Neodiprion lecontei: one gene and its partner. The protein of the gene in region 1 interacts with the protein of each later gene in a pairwise test. Links are inferred from orthologs where the notes say so. Each region holds a gene or a part of one and is shown on either strand. Other genes may lie near its edges.

Region 1 (9,621 bases):
ATAATAACAAGCTGCAATGGCCAATGTCGCGTCAAGTTGTTATCTTTTTTTGCAATCGAAAATTTTCATCTCAACGGTTTTAGCAGTTGATTTGTTTGTTCTCAAACATCCTTTGTTTTTGTCACATGGTTCACTAACTTCAAAATAATTTTTATTATCCCCTTTCGATTTTTTGAATTCGCCAGCAACCTCATTTCAGTTTGACACATCAATGCGAATTAATTTGATATTCAATTTGCAATTATAATTTATTCCAAAGAATTGAAGTGATGTCACGAATTTGTAAAATGAGCAAACATGTGAGTCTGCTACTTTACTACGGTCTGCAAAGTGAACCATTCTTAAAGTGTTTTGCACGTGGTGTCGTAACGTCGATTCGATTTACAATTCTTTGTGATGTGATCGTCTTGAGAAAGTACACTCTGGTCAGCTAGGACCAATAAATTATTATATGAATTGATTATCGAATAATTTGTAAAATATAATCTCAAAACCTGCCTCGCGGTGTAATTAAATGAAAAATCTGCAAGATACTTATTCAGCACTAGCTTACCAGAGCGCACTTTCCGAAAATCACACGATCATTCTACATAAATTCCAATTCGATTCAAAGTTTCACAAAAGAATGAGCTTCTCATAGAAACTCTTAAATTGGTCACGTGGTAACATCCTTAAAATACTTTAACCACCTATTTGCAAATGATGAAATATGTTATATACTGCAATAAAAGTTTCCTGGCTGATGTTAATGCGTGAACACGTATTTGCGTGGCTAATAGATATCGTTAAAGTGAATGGTAAATGAAAAAAAATATATCGCCCAATAATAATTATTATGTCCCTTCACTTCGAATTATTACTAAAATCACACTTGAAATTTATCATAGGAAACAAATCAAGATTTTTTTTTTCAGCGATTCTGATAATGTAATAATAGTACCAAATCGCTTGAATTTAATATTTTAGAACGTTGCGATTGAAGGACTATTATACTCAATTTCGTATGGTCTAGTAGATCAAGGACTGCGAATGTTGTGATGAATCAATTATTACTGTACAAAACTTATAACTAGGCTCAGTAGAATAGTGCTCCAAGTAAATTGAAAAAAAATTCATGCGCGAGCCACAGACTTATAGCGGTCGAGCCCGAGTACGAGTACCGCTGAGAGTGGTCAAATTTGTAGCTATCGACGAGATTTTCAGTAACGATTCTGGCTTATTTGCGGTGTTTGTTGTCGTTTTTTCGAAAAAACAAGCGCACCAAAAAATACCTCCATCCGGTGTAAGAAAATTCAAGATTAATTGTTGCGCTATCTGTTATAATAGTTTTTGCAACACCTGCATGGAAAGTCCATTTTTATGCACCATTTACAAGCACCGAAAGTAGTCTTTTATACACGTGTGCGGGAAAAACTTTCGCGCATTGCTAGGGATGTGAGAAAGAAAACCTTCGCACATTGCCGGCGGTATAAGATCAACCTTCGCACATTGCTAGCGGTGTGCGAAAAAGACGGTCGCGCTTTTATCCACAGTTGCGCATTTCGCAAACAGCTGCACTAGCGCCACCGATGGAATAGTTTGTCACTCTTTGCCGTGCTCGACATCGCTGCATCATCACTGAAAAGACATCGTGCCGTGGTTTCGTGTAAAAATAATCGTGTATGTCGGACTTTCCATTACAGGTGTAGCAAAAAATAGGGTTCGATACTAGTGCGAAAGTTGGCAATGCCTATCTCGCGTGAATGCGCCACACTCGCCCTTCAACTCGTCTACGGGCTCGTGCTGCGCCTTCACGCTTGTGCGGGCATTGCCACCTTCAAGCACTAGTATCGAAAAACACTATTGTTTCATTGGACTGAAATTTTTAATTCCGGTTACCGCTCAGTCCTTGACTATTTTCATTTTTTAACACAATCGGAAAATATAGTTCTAGGTAGAAAATGAAAATTAGTTTTCTAGTATCCGTTACTATTCTTTTTCATTACGATCACTGTTGCTATACTTTCTTTTAACTGTTAGGAAAATTTAATGCTTGTGCAACAATAAATTGACGCTAAAGCCTTATTTAACTAAAAAAGTAGAGTAAACCGACAACAGCGTACAATGGTTACATGTACCTCGTTTTTCGTAATTCCAACAATATTGAAACAGTTTTTTTAATGATACCTGATTTACTCAATTTTTCTAGTTACTGTAAGAAATGAATTTTTCTCAGTGTGGCACTGTTTTAGTGCCAGTAATTTGAATGTAATAATTAAAAATTCATATAAAATCGTAAATTCAGATTTCCAATCCGGATGAATGTAACAGTTTCTTTTGAAAGTGTTTCCTAACGAACGAAAAAAATTCGAACTCTTTTTAAACGAGTTTTGATCTTCGTTAGGTTTCAGAAAATCAAAAATTCTTCGTCGCGAAACTGTTTAACGAACGCAATTATTAGGAAGTGATTAAAAAACAACTTCAGTTCTCTTTCATTGAAACGAAAGACTAGACGCTGAACGTTGATTTATAGTTGTCTATTTATAATCGTAAATGAAAGAATTGTTGCATTAAAATTCATTTTATTAGGTTTGGGTTGAAAAAACGAACTTTTCAGCTCAAACAGAAACGGCGTTATGAATTTTTGAAAGTGAGTCTTCCAAGCCAAAAAATACCAAATTATCAAACTTTCGATCCCCTCTATTTTACGAAATATGTGAAATAAAAAATCCTGGAATACGTATCCCTATTTTTTTGATATAGAACCCGTGAAAAAATGTTAAGCTACATCAAAATTGTGTCGGTCTATTTTTATCTAAATCTGTCCGATTCGTCAAAGAATGTCCCATATTCAAGGGTGTTTCACGGAACAACAAATTGGATTTGCGATATTCACCGTAAAACCATCAAAATAATCAGTTCGGTCGTGATGCAATCGCTACACACATGACGTCATTATTTGCATGCAAAATTCGGGTCAATCCTGTTGGTTTGGTTACCGACTCAGATTCAGGTCCTTTACCGACCGCGTTTTGTCTAATATTGTGTTGCGCTACTCCCCGGTGGAAAGTACCACCTTCGAATGGTTTGGAACCGAGGAAACTTACGCAGAGAGCGCTTCGATCGATTACAACTTTTAGATCCAGGTCAGCGCACTGATATATATATACACTGGATTGGATATTACCGTATACTCTACGTGTAAGCTCGTGCGTCCAATTGAACAATTTAATTTCCGCCATCTTGTACAGAAAGTTGTCACAAAATGCGCGCTAGATTTGAACTGCGTAATATATGCTATTTAGGTCTAACGATATATTCGTCACACAAAAAAGTTTTTGACGAGTAAAATAATGTTTGATACATTAAATGAAGAACAAATCATTTTTTCGAAGGTATGTTATTATTTACAATTATATGATGTAAAAGATCATTAAATAATATGACGAAAAACTTGTATTTAAGCGTGATTTTTCTTCATGTTCAAAAGAAGTCCTCAATTCTAAGAAGTTTCCGTCCATTATCCTCTATCCTATGGTGGGCTGAATTCCATACGGATTATTCAAAAATTTGTATAACACTAATTCAACCGTTAGGGAATCCATTTACCATCCATTGATCATCAAAGTGGAGCTTAAGACATGTAAAAAAAGTTTTGAATTAAATTATATCGAATTGGGTGAGTAAAAACTTTATTCAAAAATATGGAGAATAAAACATTCCTTGCAAACGTTAAGGCATTTTTATAGAGTTGCGTGCGATAAACCACAACCGTAATATAATTAGTAGTATCAATCCACAATCCATTCACATGAAGAAAAAGTTACAAGCACAATCAAAAGAAAATAAAAAAGATGTACATACCTGAGCATGCAAATCAGGTACAAATGTGTAGGTGATCATGTAATTTGGTTACATTCACTGTGGTGGGCCGATCGGATTCATCCTGAAATTCGGTCTGCTGCAAGTTTTCACCTACAGATAAGTTACTAATAAATAACGACAATGGAAATACACAGAAATGTGTCACACACGATTTTTCTGTAACAGAGCACTTTATAATCTGTAGGTAATTAACCGCTTTGACGGCATTGACGCAATAGTGCATCACATCAACGTGTCTTTATGCACACTGAGTTTTCTCTGACCTAATAGGGATTAATAGTTTCAGATCTCACCAAATAACGTTGGGATACTGCCTTTTCGTAAAGTTATATAATTTTTACTTTTCTTCTGAAAGCAAGAGAGTTCAAAGTGGTCGGAACACAGAAAGCTATCACTTGATGGAGACCACGGTCCAATGTTTATATTTGCGATCCATGGCTTCATAATATCAGGTTCATCCAATGGGAACCTACATAACAAGCAAAGTTTAAATTTATTAATTCACACGTTATGTTGCATTGAGTAACGGTACTTACTTGAAGAATGAATAGCCACGTCCATATTCCTTTAATCGGTGACAAGATGAACACTCTGATTTTGGGTTGTCAAATATAGTTGGTACACTGTTCTTTTTCAATGTAATTAGGAATCCTGTCCTATCAAAGCAATCATTTGTAAAATGAGCTGAACACAATGTGCTATTTCGGTTTGGCTTCCAGTCCTCCCTCTTCATTTCTTCTAACCAATGCTGAACGCGCAACACATCTTTCACGGGAAATCTACATATCGAATTATAATTTAATCCCTCAGTCAATAATACCCGAGTTTTCAATTTCAATTATAATAAGATCGGTTCATAATTCAAATATTGTGAATTTTTACTGACAAGATTCGTACGTTATAATACTCGTTAAATATAATTAGTAAATACTTCGTATGCTGACATAACCTCTGCAAGTTATCATTTGCAGAACGCTTCAGCGTTGTATACTCACTTGTGAAATGATCGCCCACGATATTTTGATTGCTTTGTTTTGCAAAAAACGCAGGTACTCATTGTTACCTCAATAATTGTTACTGTAATTTTCCGTCGCAATCGATTATATACACATACATATATCACGTATATATATATATATATATATATATCTGAAGTGACAAGAATCTGTACAAAATGGCTACCGTTCAATTGGCGTGACGGCACCACGCTTAATCCAATCCAGTGTACATATATATCAGTGGGTCAGCGGCACCTTAAACAGCAAAAACTTACGCCGAAAGCGCCAGTAACTTTCAGTGGATTACTATGGGATTACTGCAGATTACTGCTACTGCTACAATTTTTGCAGCCCATTAAATCCCACCTCAAGACATCAGGTTAGCTGTGCGCTTCCTTTTGGTGACTTGCGGTGCTATTTATTTGGCAACTCTGCGATTACACTGATGGCGTCGTTGCAGCGTTAACTGGTGAAGTGGAAAACGCTATAATACAAACAAACAAAACGATTTGTTGAAGTATTTTGCTTCTACTGATTACATTGGCCAACCTGTTCTACCCTTACCAACAATGGCCTCAGGACTTGAAAGTTACGTAAACCGTATCCTTTTTCCTATCCGAAGTTGTATTTATAATTTAATTACATAAAGGTTATGTTTCCTCAATGTTTACTAGATACTGTTTCAATAATAACTTCCGATGGTAGGAACTTTATCGTGAGTATAATATGATCTAGCTTTTAAAAAATTTTTTTCTGTGAAACGAATCGCTGTGGTGACGCAGTCGCGAACCGATAGCGTAGTTATTAGCTCGTGTGTGATTTCGGATAGCAACAGAATATCGTAATTTATTAAATCTGACGAGAGTATGACGAAGCCCAACTTGCTCTGGGAAATAACATAAAAAGTTGGATTTCACTGCACCATCTGATGGAGATGCTTTATACCAAAAAGTGTGTTCCTGTAAAGCTATGAAAATTTACTGGCTGCCAACCACGCTGTTGTCTACACAGTCGTTCTCAGCTGCCTAGGCACTGTGAATCTAGCCTTTTGTAGGACGAAAAATAATTGACTAATTGTATAACTCTTGTACATTAATCAGTCTTAGGAGAATGCTATAATTAATCTTGATTGACAACATTAAATGTCATTTACTTTGGCTATGATCACAGCCTACAAAACACTGATGTGAAAGTGCCACAGTCAGCGCAGTACTACATGCAATGTCTAACCAAAACATCCAAACCTTTGTTGTTTCATACAAGAATAATACCAAGAAGTGTATCCTTGCAATAAGTGGTGATATAATTACAGGAATACATTTCTTCAAATGTGACGTCAAAATTTTTTTTTGGCTATTTGTAGTCAACATTGGATGTAGCATTGTACTGAGTGTAGCATTTTCACATCAATGATGCGCAGGCGTCGATAATAATAAAAATCTTTATTATTTATCTATTCTATTACTCCTATTCATTAACATCATCGAATATTCTGAACTATGTTTATGTTTCAGGGTACATTGAAAGGATTTGATCAGACAATCAATTTAATTCTTGATGAATCACATGAGCGTGTGTACAGCGTGACGCAAGGTGTCGAACAAGTTGTATTAGGTCTTCATATTATCAGAGGAGATAACGTGTATGTACGCACAATAAAATAATGTACATTTTCAAGAATGTCAGTAATTCATGTAAACCAATATTCCTGTATTTACAGAGCAATCGTTGGTGAGCTAGACGATGAGATGGATGCAAGAATTGATCTTTCAGCGATCCGAGCTGAACCACTTAGCTCTGTAGCGCATTAAAATAAATTTAAAAAAATTTTAGACAGCGTTTTTCTGAATACTCCTTACTTTATTCCACATTTTACTAATTGGCAATCGTGTTCTTACAACATATTTGGTTTTTTTTTTCAATGCACTTTTAACTTTAAGGAAATGTGCCTGAATTGAATTGAAACAGGTTATTTATTTTTGATATCAAAATGGAAATAAAGAAAAAACAACTCAATTTTTCTCAGTGCCCTAACATGATTAAGTCATTGGAACTGTAGTTATAACACCGGGAGCACTGTTGGATCAAATAAAAATATGAATAAAACGGTAGGTTAATAAGATACTGCTGATTATTTCAAGTCTCGATCTTGTAATATTACCCACTAATACTTTACATAAATTATAAAACACTTGTATTAAAGTTAATTATAGGCATATTATTCTATAGATAACGATATTAATTTATTTTCGATTGCATGATAATATTATTTGCGATGGAAAAATGAGTAATGCTTATAGCCGAAAAACGATGTTATATAACTATATCTGCATAGATACAAACGTTTTAAATAAATTGTAGCACTGATAATTCTACATAGAATAATTAAGTTTCATCATATTTGATTCAGGAAATATACACTATTCACATATCACTGGGGGAGTCATTACAATATGTATATTTAAATATGATTGCTATTATGATTTCTTAGATGAATGAATAATAATAATTTTTCAGTTCGAAATCACCATATTAATTTTATATATTCACTAAATTTCAATTTTCTCGTTTTAGCGAAATGTGTTTGCAATGAACAAACAATAAGAAATTTAGTATTTGCTGAGGTTGCATCATTGATTTATTACATGATACTTCTATAAATTTTTTTAACATATATCTTAAATTAATAATATTAAAGTTGAATTTAACAATCAAGTAAATATTATGCAATAATAGAGTCTGAGCTGATGATAACTTAGTAAAGTATGTATGTACAGTTGGAAGACGTACAAAAATAACACGGGAATACATAATACCAAGTATCGGTAAGTAATACACATGTAGTAAGTAATTTAAATTCAATCATTAAGGAGTTGTGTCATGAATTTCATTATTAGTATTTTTTCCTCCAACTAATTCGAACTAGAAACTCTATGTACAAGCTTCAATCATCAATCTGTCTAATTTGTTATCCATGATGAATCGGTAATTATTGAAATCATTAATCAATTCACATCATTTCATTTGTATGGTTATTAAGTGATGTACCAGTATACAGAAAATCGTTGGTATATATTGTCCGATGCCCGTCTTAATAATCAGAATTGAAACTTAAACATATTGATACATATTAATTTCTGTATTTCAAACTTCGTACCAGATTCCATGATTAGTATGAATCAATTGACATATCTAGTTTGAAATCATTTTGCCAAAACTATTTTTACAATTGCGACGTGAATGTTCTCCACAGTGGTAATAAATTTAAGAAAAATAAAACTAAGAAAAATTGATGTATAGCAACAAAATATTACATCTTGTGTAAATAATAGTACATGATAGTAAACTGTGGAAGATGTCTTATAGTGGATATTTAAAACAGGTTACAAAGAGAGCTTGGGGAATACAAGTGAATTAAATTCAATTGAAGTTGTTGAGGAGATAACAGGGGTAATACAAAAAAGTATGTGTTTCAGGATTGTATTGAATAGGTCTGCATTTTAGGGGAAAACAATATGTCAAGTCAAGCCACTTGAAGATAATTTTCCTTGATAATGAATTATGGCGATTTGATAAGCAACACATCTTCAAATATAAAATAAGAAGTAAAACTAAGGAAAAATTCCGTACTGATTATTTTTAATGCAAAGTTATTTCAATCGATAAATATAATATCGAATAACTACTAGGTAAATGAAATATACTTAAAGCACACAACTTTAAAACGGAATACAGATGATGCACAATCTGGTCAATTATTATAACACTTGATTCGCAATTTTTTGACTGATGTTGTCAAATCTGTACCAGCTTTAATATTGATTTCTGGATACTCAGTACCCAGGGATTACTCGGTCGTCTATCAAATGTAATGTGATGAAGTATCTCGTTGCTAACTTATCCGAGCAAGAGCCAATTTACTCAATTAGGTCACATGCTCATTTTAGCTGCCTCATATATTACTTGTCATGTTGGCATCATTATTAACCACTTTTAACATGTGATGCTACAAGTCTCACTGTATGCATACAATTCTACAATTCACGGCGGAGATCTTCTATTACTACTGTTATTATTACTTCTGTTACGATTTCGTCTGCGTATCCGACCCGACCCTCGCCGATTATTCTGATTTTGATTGCCTGCGTTCCAGTCCCCTCCATTACCCCCAAAGTTAGGAGGTGGAGGTCCATTGGGACCAAAGCCCATCATGTTATCGTTAGGTCCGAAGTTGTTGAAATTACTAGGTGAAAAATTCGGTCCCTCATAATTTGGTCCTTCGTAATTTGGCCCGTCATGTCCGAATCCCCCCATAGTAGGTGCAGGGCCCAACAAACCAGCCCCACTGTTACGCTGGGCGTTAAATCGGGGATCAAAATTCATCTGATTTGCAGGCCCCATATGTGCGCCATTCGGCCCCATGTTTCCCATTGGCGGTACGTTGGTCATACCCGGCATTGGTCCCATGTTTGGCATATTTCCCATCATTGGCCCATTCGCTCCAATATTTCCCATCATATTCATTGGTCCCATATTTCCCATCATTGGCGCATTACCGCCCAAGGCCATGGGTATGCCTTGAGAATTAATCGCCTTCACATTATCTATGGGTGGTGGCTGAGAATTTGCGGACATGGAAGGTATAGCACTGCTAGAAGTTGGTAAAGCTGCATTTTCTAAGGCTTTTCTACGTGGATCTGCCCGAACTTGTGGTGGAGACTTTGGTGTGTCTGGTTTAACAGGTGGCGGGGACATCGGC
Region 2 (9,659 bases), about 11 Mb from region 1:
ACGAATTGCACTTTCCTAAATTCGATGCGTTCAGACTGACTTCTCGGCTAATGCGACAGCCAATTTACGTTCCTGACTAATCCGTCCGTGATATTATATCGATGTGTTCCGCGCGGATCCAGAAGAAGCACGAAAGCGCGGAGCAAACGCAATAACACCGCAGGTCATAGCTTGTACTATACGTGCTTAGGACGTGGATATAGAATATAATACGCGGGTATGTATTTGCACAAAGCTACGCGTATGTGCAGAGTGCCTTTATTGGCACTCGAAGTGGCGTTTGAATGACGTATCTCTCGTCAAATACTTGAATTCCTCCCCGTGGTTCAACTCCGGGCGCTGCAACAGATGTCGATCAGCTCTCGCAGTAGCTGCACCAGACTCCCGCCGAGCCATCCGATGAGCTTTTAATTTTTAAATCGTCCGGTGCTCTCGCTGACGTAAAAATAATCAAAAGAATTTTAATAAAATCACATGAGAATCACTATAACCAACGACGAACTACAGGTCAACCGATATTATTTACTCAGCAAAATATACCGTTTAATGATGATCAGTGAAACTGGTCATTTGTTTGTACGCAACGTTCGCAAACAATACAGGGAAAATAGTTTGATCTTAAATTGTATAGATGTAAACAGAGTCAAGGTTGATTATTATGGAACCACAGTGATAGTATATATCTAACGTAGTATTCGTTTATTTTCTAATATCTCCGAATTTTCCAGATGTCGTGGAATAAGTATACGTTACTTTTTCCCTACAAATTTGAATTGGTTTATAAGTAATTTTCCGAACTTTCCGGTGATTGTTATCACATCGAGTTTAATAATGATCTGCTAATTTTAATCATATAACGCAATAGTTGGACAATTATTTTTCTTCGAATGTCAATAACTAATTCCGATATTTATATTTTTAACCAAACACCGGGACTTGTTCCAGTTTTTCAGCATCACAACAACCCTGCTCATTGTACAATTGTTATTGTTAAAGAGCCAACGGTGTCGGTGAAGACGGAGGCGGGACTCCTAGAGGCGATTTGCGCAGCTTGCGGTCGAGGCATTGCGGACAGATACGTAATGCGAGTAGGAGAGAAAAGTTACCACGAGGATTGCCTCTCTTGCGCTGCATGCGCGTCTCCCTTGGTTCACACCTGTTTCACCCGGGATCACAAGCTCTACTGCAGGGTGGACTACGAGCGCATATTCGCGGTGAAGTGCAGCCGATGCATGGAAAAGATTCGATGTTCGGATCTCGTGATGCGGGTGGCCGGCCTCTTCTTTCACGTCGAATGTTTCGCCTGCTGCATGTGCGGACAGAGCCTTCCTCGAGGGGCTCATTTCATCCTGAGACAGGGGCAACCCATATGTAGAAGAGACTTCGAGCACGAGCGTTACGTTCACAGTCCTCAAGGTATGCGTTTGGAAATATTTTACCCCTGCAATCATGAGCGCGTGAGCATAACGATGCAACTAAAAGTACTACTTGGCGTCGAATGTTTCCAGACGACGACCTCCTGGACGAAAGTCGACCTCCGGACGGGCGTCGCGGCCCCAAAAGGCCCCGCACTATTCTGACTTCCGCTCAGAGACGCCAGTTCAAAGCGTCCTTCGAAGTGTCGCCTAAGCCTTGCAGAAAAGTGCGCGAGGCTCTCGCCAAAGACACTGGTCTCAGTGTTCGGGTCGTGCAAGTCTGGTTCCAAAATCAGAGGGCGAAGATGAAGAAACTTCAGAGAAAAGCGAAGGCGGAACCTGGCGCCGAAAAGGAACCGAAGGAGGAACGCGCCGGGGAAAGTCCTCACAGCGATCACAGTGAGTTTTAAACTTTGCGCGGAACTCTCTGTAATTAATACCGAGCCTCACGATCCCCTCTCCGATCACGATTGACTACTTATGTGAACCTACGTCGCAAACTTCGCCAACAGCGATCGAGAATAAATGCTCGCGTTATTTGCTCCTCTCCACTTTCTTTCTTCCTTTCATGTTTCTCAGTCTGTCAGTCGACATGCGAAAACGTAAATCTTAAAGAGCAGAGCCCCCGCCTAACTGCGGAACGGATATTGCGAGGCATGTGTCACCGGGTGACGGGCGTTAAATTCCTGGGAAGACGACCCCGCGAAGTCTTGTGTCGCCCAGAGGCATAAGGGAGGTCTTTTACCCCGTCAGTTTTATAAGTTAAAGAATATAAGGAGGGGCTCCGTGGCACCGAGTCTCTCTCTATCTCTCTCTCTCTCTCTCTCTCTCTCTCACTCTCTCTCTCTTCCGCAGTGTGGGTTTGTCACCTTTCTTCTATGCCGTCTCGTTCACAGGTCATTACTTGAACGCGCTGAGCATGCGCGACGGGGATTCTTCCAGCTTCCCTTCGGCCACGCAGCCGCTCAACCCCAACAACCCTTACTCACCCGACGGTAAGTTGTTGACGCTTCACCGTCGCCGCCGCCTTCGTTTCCCAAATTTTGCCCAACCAGATCCGACACGAGCTTTCGTTCACGTGTGAAATGTCCATGCGCCGAGAATAACTTCATTTTTTGCAGTCAATGGAAAATTCTACCAGGAAACATATCGTCACAGAAACAGTTTCGATACTGCGGAAATTACTGTTGTTAGTACTGGTATTACTATTGAGAGCGCGGATTGTAATTGCCAGTACTACATTTTCTGACTATTCCAACATTGAATCTGTTTGTTTATTTCCCTTCATTTTTCAGCTAAACAAGGCCTTGACAACAATTTATTGTTGCAACAACATCAATTTATCGCAATAGTTACAAGGACCATGATCAAAGAGAATATTAACACATGCATATATGTATATACCATACTAGATTTACAGATTACAGCTATAAAACTCATTTTTATCTTTGACTCTGAAATATATTTTTTCTGATAACGATAAAAAATTGCACCGTGCAGTAAACACGACTGGAAATGTCACTCATCGTTAGTGCAGAAGCTCGCGATCCTCGAACTTCGCTCTCAATTCCTTCCCCATTTCCTTCTTCGAGAAGACTATTTTATTCGATATACACTTTGCATCGTTGGCTCAGTTTATTTTTTGTGGGTTAATTCACTGAGGATGAGCGCACTGCGAAGTACCTAAGAATAAATCGAACCTTGTCTTACAGTTGACTGATTTTAAATACCAACCAAGATACTCTGATGTTTTCGATTTTGCATATTTTCCTCATCTGCGTTTCAGACACATACGCGGGACATTCCGGCGAGAGTTTCTGCAGCAGTGACCTTTCTCTGGACGGTACCGAGGCCGGGTTCGATATCGGGGATGGGGATAACGGGGGCCCGGATGGGAGTCATCCTGGTGGGCCTCATTCCCATCACGGACCTCCCCCGCACGAAGCGCCGACACTTTCCCAGAGCCTACACGCCGCGATGCATAATCCGATAGACAAACTCTTCATGATGCAAAGCAGTTATTTTAGCGGCGAACATGCGTAGGGGTTTGAGCCTTGGAGCCTGGGGCTTGATCAAGCTTAAACTGAAACTTACGCGTAATGAATTTCACTCGAAGATTATTTTTCAAACGAAACGAACAAAGTACGCGCATGTATGTAGATGTACCTTTTACGAGTAGAGATTCAACGACCTGCTGTGTAATATTGTTCTAGTCAGGTTTTCTTCGATGACCCGTAGAATTGGTAAACTATTATTGCTGTCGTTCGAGTTGTTGATTTTTAAACTTACTTCCTTCTCAGATACCGATTATTTTGATCAACCAATACTATGATTACTTATATATATTTTAATTTATTGAAAAAAAAAAAATTAATCACCCAGTTACGTATATTTATTTCATCGTATATAGCTAAATCCAAAGAATAATCCGTTGCTTTAGTTTTACCGTATATATATACTTCGTTGAAACATCGATTTTCAGTTTTAAATATGAAGATTGATACCAAATAAAAGAGATGTAGAAGAATATTTGTATTTACGTTTAATAATAAGTGTACTTTAATATATTATAATAATAAAAAGTTGCTAAACCAAATATCGTTACCGAAAAACTGTAATATGGGAGGATTCTATTTGGTTTTGGACAGAAGTAATGATATAAAAAATAATTATTTTCAACCCGACCTGATTAGCAATAGATACGTAAATTCAAAAATTCTCTTGGCAACAAATCCCGAATAAAATGACATAACACTGTACCTCAAGCACGTATGGGATAAATAATTACACAAAATAATCGTTCAATTTCTCATGTTATTCAAGACCCAAAAATTCGCAAAAAAATTGCCATCTGCTATTTGTACAAAATAGGTTTTATTTGTAGTTTCTTACAATCATGTTGCTTTGAACTTTCGCCAAACCGTTGACAACAGATTCAGTGATTTGTTACAAACGTGAATAAACACCCGTTTCGTAAATTAAATTTAAATAAATTAAACTTTATCAATCAAACCGTACTGAACATAACTGTCTATAATACGTCTTATTGTAAATCGTAACATACATGTAAGCATTACTGGTACTGATTTGTTATCGGGTTTGTACAGCTGCCTCTTTCCGTGCAGCATCTTGCAAAAGCTGTGTATCAACCTCGTCTCCAGGAAGTTGAACGTACCTCACTACAGAACCACGAATGAAACAGTTTTTCACTGACAACTGTAACAGACGACCAAAAATTGGATCAAGTAATTCTGTACTGCCGAATCACAAAATTAAGGAAAGTAGGATATCTCCAGACATAGAATAATTCAAGTAAATGTTTAATACGTGTTATTGTGTACTGGCTTCGCCGGATTATAGTTTCTTATAACATGCATTACTGATCAACATGTGGTAACTTTACAAACCATGTGAGGATATTTATCTGGATCCGTCACACTGATGTCTGTGAGCTTGATGTTCAGATACTGGTCCACAGAGTGTAAGGTACCACAAATACTGAAAATATAATAATAACAACGGTGAGTAATTGGTATTTGCAAAAGCTGACTAAGAATAATACATAATGCAAGTTTGATCAATATTTAGATTGCAGACAGAAATGAAAAAATGGACTGAGTTACAATCGGTCAGAAAAGTGAACAGGATTGCTTGTTAACTTAGAATGGATACAGAAAAAAAACTTGTAACATTTGAAAATTGTAATTGGAGCTTTCAAACATATCGTATGATAACAACAATAGAAATAACTCTCACAACTCAAATAAAACGAATAAAGCTCAAATGACAAGTTTGAAAACCGAGTGACAACAAACTGAGAACACTGACTATCTGCAAACCCGGAATTTGTATTCATATTTATTCAAGTACATGTATGTGGACCATTGACGTTGTTGAATTTCTCCGTATCTTCCGAATCTCGAATACTGAATGGAAGTATATTTAACCACGGCAGATTATGCGGAGAATGTTTACGATTTATTGTTGCATATTTACGTTACCTCAGGTCATTTTTCAACTCCACTACGACGTCCTTCCCGACCAAAGATTTGAAAAACGAGTAGAATAACTGTAAAAGAGAAGAAATAAGACCAATATTACAACCCCTCAACTGTAGATAATATACAAAGACGTTTTTAAATATTTCGCTAACCATTTTTACCGAACAACATAGAAAATCACAGGTTATGTGTCTCGTTCAGTTTTGGAGGTTATGCCGCTTCGTTACAAAACCGAACATAACGCTCTCACACGCAGCTAGATATCGATAGTTCAGATGCCTAGTTTTAGGTCGATAGTCGATGGAATGTCGAGGTATCGTATTGATAAAAGAATCATGGGTTAATGCGCGCGGGACGCATGAGCGGAAGGGACAGGCAACTTACGTTCCCAATATGTACGTATAGGTACGCACAAATGTGCAGAATAACGCTAATGACTTAACAAATTTTGGTAAAACGTCAATTGAAAACTGTGAATAAAATTAAAATTTATAATCGATGTACCGTATTGATTCGTACGGTATAGAAGCTCCGTTATTTGGCCTGGATCGGGTTGAGATTTGGATGTAAATGTACATAGTTGGGAACAAAGAGAAGAAATGTGATAAATACGGTTTACGTAATTTAAAAAGGATAGATATATTTAAAGCGCTCCAGCAGAGAAAGGAAGGTACGCGAATGCACCGGACGGAGAGAACAGCATGGGGAATATCCAGGTCGGAGAAGGACGGTTGAACGTTGCGAGGTGGTGGGGGTGAACCACATGGTTCCCAACATCAGCTTCGCTGTAGGCAAACATCGCAATTTTCACGAACCATTAGTGCGAAAACGTAGTTGAGACCTACGCAGTCCTAAGGATTGCGAAGATACTATTACGCGTTTAGGGCTTGATGTGAGCTTCTATTGCGCAGCGATTATCGGAGATCTTACTGTTGCGGTTGTCGACGGGGACAAACTCTCGTGTGTTAGGAATAAAATAGAATAAAAGACGGAGAAAATTTCTACCGAATAGATCAAAGGTAGAACACAACAAAGTGGGGGTGTGTGCCTGACTGTCGCAAAATTTCGTTGTCACGCGCTAAAAATAATACGGAGACGAGTTTTTAACAGTGCCATGCTGGTTAAAAACAATAACTGATAAATCATTTAGGAGGTTTTTTTTTCATCAAGTCATGGAGAAATTAACTAACATCGCGTATTATTTTCGTTGGAGGCTTCGGGAGAAGGAAAATGTCCCCGAAAAATACGACGAAAGTACGTCCGAAAATAATCGTCCCGGAGACGTTAAGTACAACTTTAATACGTCCAACAGATTTTTAACAATTCTGGAAAGCATTTTGCTCTGGGAGAATTCAGTGAATAGTATCTCTGTCGTCATTGTCTTCAATTTATTGTTCTGGTAAGTTGCACGATATTACCCGTTGGCTGAATATTTTTTCTCTTTTTCTTTTTATCGCATACTAAATTTACCATACTCTCATAAAAATTGATTTGCAATTTATATGATCACAAAAGAAGCTAACACGTCGTGCCACCTTTTTCAACATTTTCTGTTTATACCTCTAAAAATGTTTCTAGCGATAACAATGAGAATTTAAAATTTGCAGAATCATATAAAATCATACAAGTTAATGAATCGAATATTGTAAGAGTAAAAAATTTATTTTTCTCATATGAAAATAAATTATAACTCTCGGTCTGCTGGCGTCTTTCTTCTTAACTAAAAATTGATTTTGTAACATGGTAAAGTAGAGGTATTGAAATTTGATGGTGAAACATAGCTATTGCCGTAAATTTGTTTCAACGTCGTATGTGTACATATGAGCAAATGAACTTTACCTATACAGTCTAACTCCGTAGAATGTAATGTATTAATTATCAGCTGTTCACAGCGTAGATATTCACAACAAGCTATCGGAAGACAGTGTGAATTTGTATATAAACTTTAATGAGATACTATTGCAATGTATTATTCAGCCTTGAATATGTATAATCTGTTTTTTTTTTACTGATATGAACACATGATCGTACTCAATTCTGTGCGACCAGTATTCAGGAAGTGACGCTGGAAGATAAATCAGATCTTATCTGTAGTGGTGATACACAAACTTGTTTTTTTCAATTGATAGAACATTTTATTGAACCTTTGACTCATTATAAGTCTAATTACAAATTTTTACCTGTTACCGAACATAACAATCAAAAAACTATGATCTTCGATATTTTAGCATAACTACGAACAGTTATACATTTATTTATCTCAATTTTTTCAGGGGAATTGTCGTATTGGAGGTTCGCGGTTTTGCGGCAGCCAGCAGTGCTGCGCTAGTCGTGGTCCTCTGCTACAGCACCCTTGAGACACAGGCCCAAAAGGATAATAAATCACCAACTGTAGCGACGTAAGTTATTGCTTTTGACATTTCACATTTGCATGGATTCATCGGTAAGAGATTTTCTTCAATGTAAAATTTTTGGTTATTCGATAATGATAAATAACCCAGATAACAAATCATGTGTTTACAGCCCACATGTCAAGTCAGAGCAGCTGAACAAAATAGTTCGTCAGCTAAAGTCTGGTGTTGACAACCTCAAGCAATTGCGCAAACAACAGCCAGGAGTGGTAGGATGTTTTCATTTAATAAATATTACATCATTATTTTTACTTATTTGAGTTTAATCGCGTTCCTTCAATTCATGTGCCAAATTTATTTTAATCTTATCTATAGCTGTTGAATGATATAAAAATAAGTATTTTCTATTATGGCCTTTCCTTTTCCCTTCAGTTCTGCGCTTCTACTTGTGCAGTTTCGTTGGGTCTCTGGCTGACAGGACGAGCAATTTCTGGGACACTTTTAGCTTACACAATTTTAATGAGTATCTTAGTAGGACCTGGGATTCTTTTGCATATACCGTGCAAAGTTATGACGTCTAAAGGTGAATGACAAGTGAGACTTGATCAAGATAAATTGCAGCTGTTTTGGATAGAGTGTTAAAATTTTTGAAGAACTAACTCTGTATTTACCAAGCATTAATCTGAAGAATTATTCTTACAGAATGGGATAGCGAAATAGAAGAGTTTCTACCTGCGGTTACAGAAGATAACTTACAAGTGTTAAAGCGAGCAGGAGAAAGTGGGGATCAAAGTCTTACACCGACTAGTTTGTCAGTGGAAAATCAAATTGGTACAGTTTTCACACTTTGATTTGTAACAATAGCAACACTGCTGAGGGTTGAAGTCATTTTTTCACATTACTGATACTTTAACTCCGAGATAGTTTTCTAGTATCTTATATAGTAATTTCACTCACAGATCCTCTTAATGACAAAGAATTGGTTGGTCTAAGAATGCCTTCCCATGAAGACGGTAGCACGGACGGTTTGGAACTGTCCGAATTGGAATTAAGTACCGACGATGTTGAAGTTGATGGCATTAAGTTCCAAAGTGGTCATTTTGAAAGAGGATCATCATCTGAGGAAGAAGCCGAACTTCAGCCACAGAAAATTTCTCAACATAGCGACGACAGCGACAGCGAATTTGAAATAATTGACACTCGTGAAGTTGTAAATGTCAAGAACGTTTAGAGGTTTGACATAAATTTTGTGTAATATATAACAATTGATAATATCTCGCATCTGAATCAATCACACCATTTACCTGATTTGGCTGTGAAAATGATGAATGTTGGCTTTTACTTGAATATACGATACACAGTAAGTAAAAATGATGAATGCTGGATTTTACTTCAATTTATAATACACAGTACGTAAAAAAAGATTAATTTTGAATTCAAAATAATGAATATTATAACCAAATATACGGGTATATAATTCTTGAATTACTTTGTTCAATGTAAAAGACGTGATTACAGATATTGGTTGGGATACGGTTAACTGGTTCTTGGTAATATCAAAGTGGTGTGATTATTCTTAGACACAAGAAGGTAGATTTTAACAGGTGGATATAATAATTTTGATATAATTATTATTACAAATATAACAGGCAAGACTCAGATATGTGTCATGCTTGTTTCGAAAATTTGCAATAAAATTTAGCAATGAATTGGATTCCTTAATTATTATATGATATTACAGATATTTTCAGATCTTGATTATAATGTACATCAATGGCAATTTTATTCTTAAAGTATAGATGTGGACATGGGTTTTGTGATGCAAGAAATCGCAATTATTTTATCTAATAATTTATGTCAACCACTCAACTTGAACAAAATTGTGAGAATAG

Evidence for each region.
Region 2: the proteins of U6 snRNA-associated Sm-like protein LSm8 (region 1) and U6 snRNA-associated Sm-like protein LSm2 interact in a two-hybrid assay, tested with the Drosophila melanogaster proteins (2 studies listed by BioGRID). The link is inferred for Neodiprion lecontei from reciprocal best matches to the Drosophila melanogaster genes CG2021 and CG10418.

Annotation. Positions count from the first base shown.
Region 1 is NC_060261.1:26,107,497-26,117,117, reverse strand, and holds U6 snRNA-associated Sm-like protein LSm8, read left to right. Parts: upstream 1-5,313; 5' UTR 5,314-5,431; coding exon 5,432-5,462; intron 5,463-5,536; coding exon 5,537-5,577; intron 5,578-6,376; coding exon 6,377-6,504; intron 6,505-6,582; coding exon 6,583-6,673; 3' UTR 6,674-6,694; downstream 6,695-9,621. Other genes in the region: THAP domain-containing protein 1-like, read right to left, coding at 3,857-3,954, 4,158-4,333, 4,401-4,643, 4,860-4,921; protein suppressor of sable, read right to left, coding at 8,904-9,621.
Region 2 is NC_060261.1:37,241,844-37,251,502, reverse strand, and holds U6 snRNA-associated Sm-like protein LSm2, read right to left. Parts: upstream 5,821-9,659; 5' UTR 5,812-5,820; coding exon of another isoform or gene 5,717-5,811; 5' UTR 5,572-5,716; coding exon 5,569-5,571; intron 5,485-5,568; coding exon 5,417-5,484; intron 4,914-5,416; coding exon 4,823-4,913; intron 4,632-4,822; coding exon 4,506-4,631; 3' UTR 4,271-4,505; downstream 1-4,270. Other genes in the region: LIM homeobox transcription factor 1-beta-like, read left to right, coding at 997-1,416, 1,509-1,814, 2,312-2,410, 3,202-3,458; reticulophagy regulator 3, read left to right, coding at 6,589-6,815, 7,690-7,815, 7,940-8,036, 8,200-8,350, 8,470-8,598, 8,727-8,998.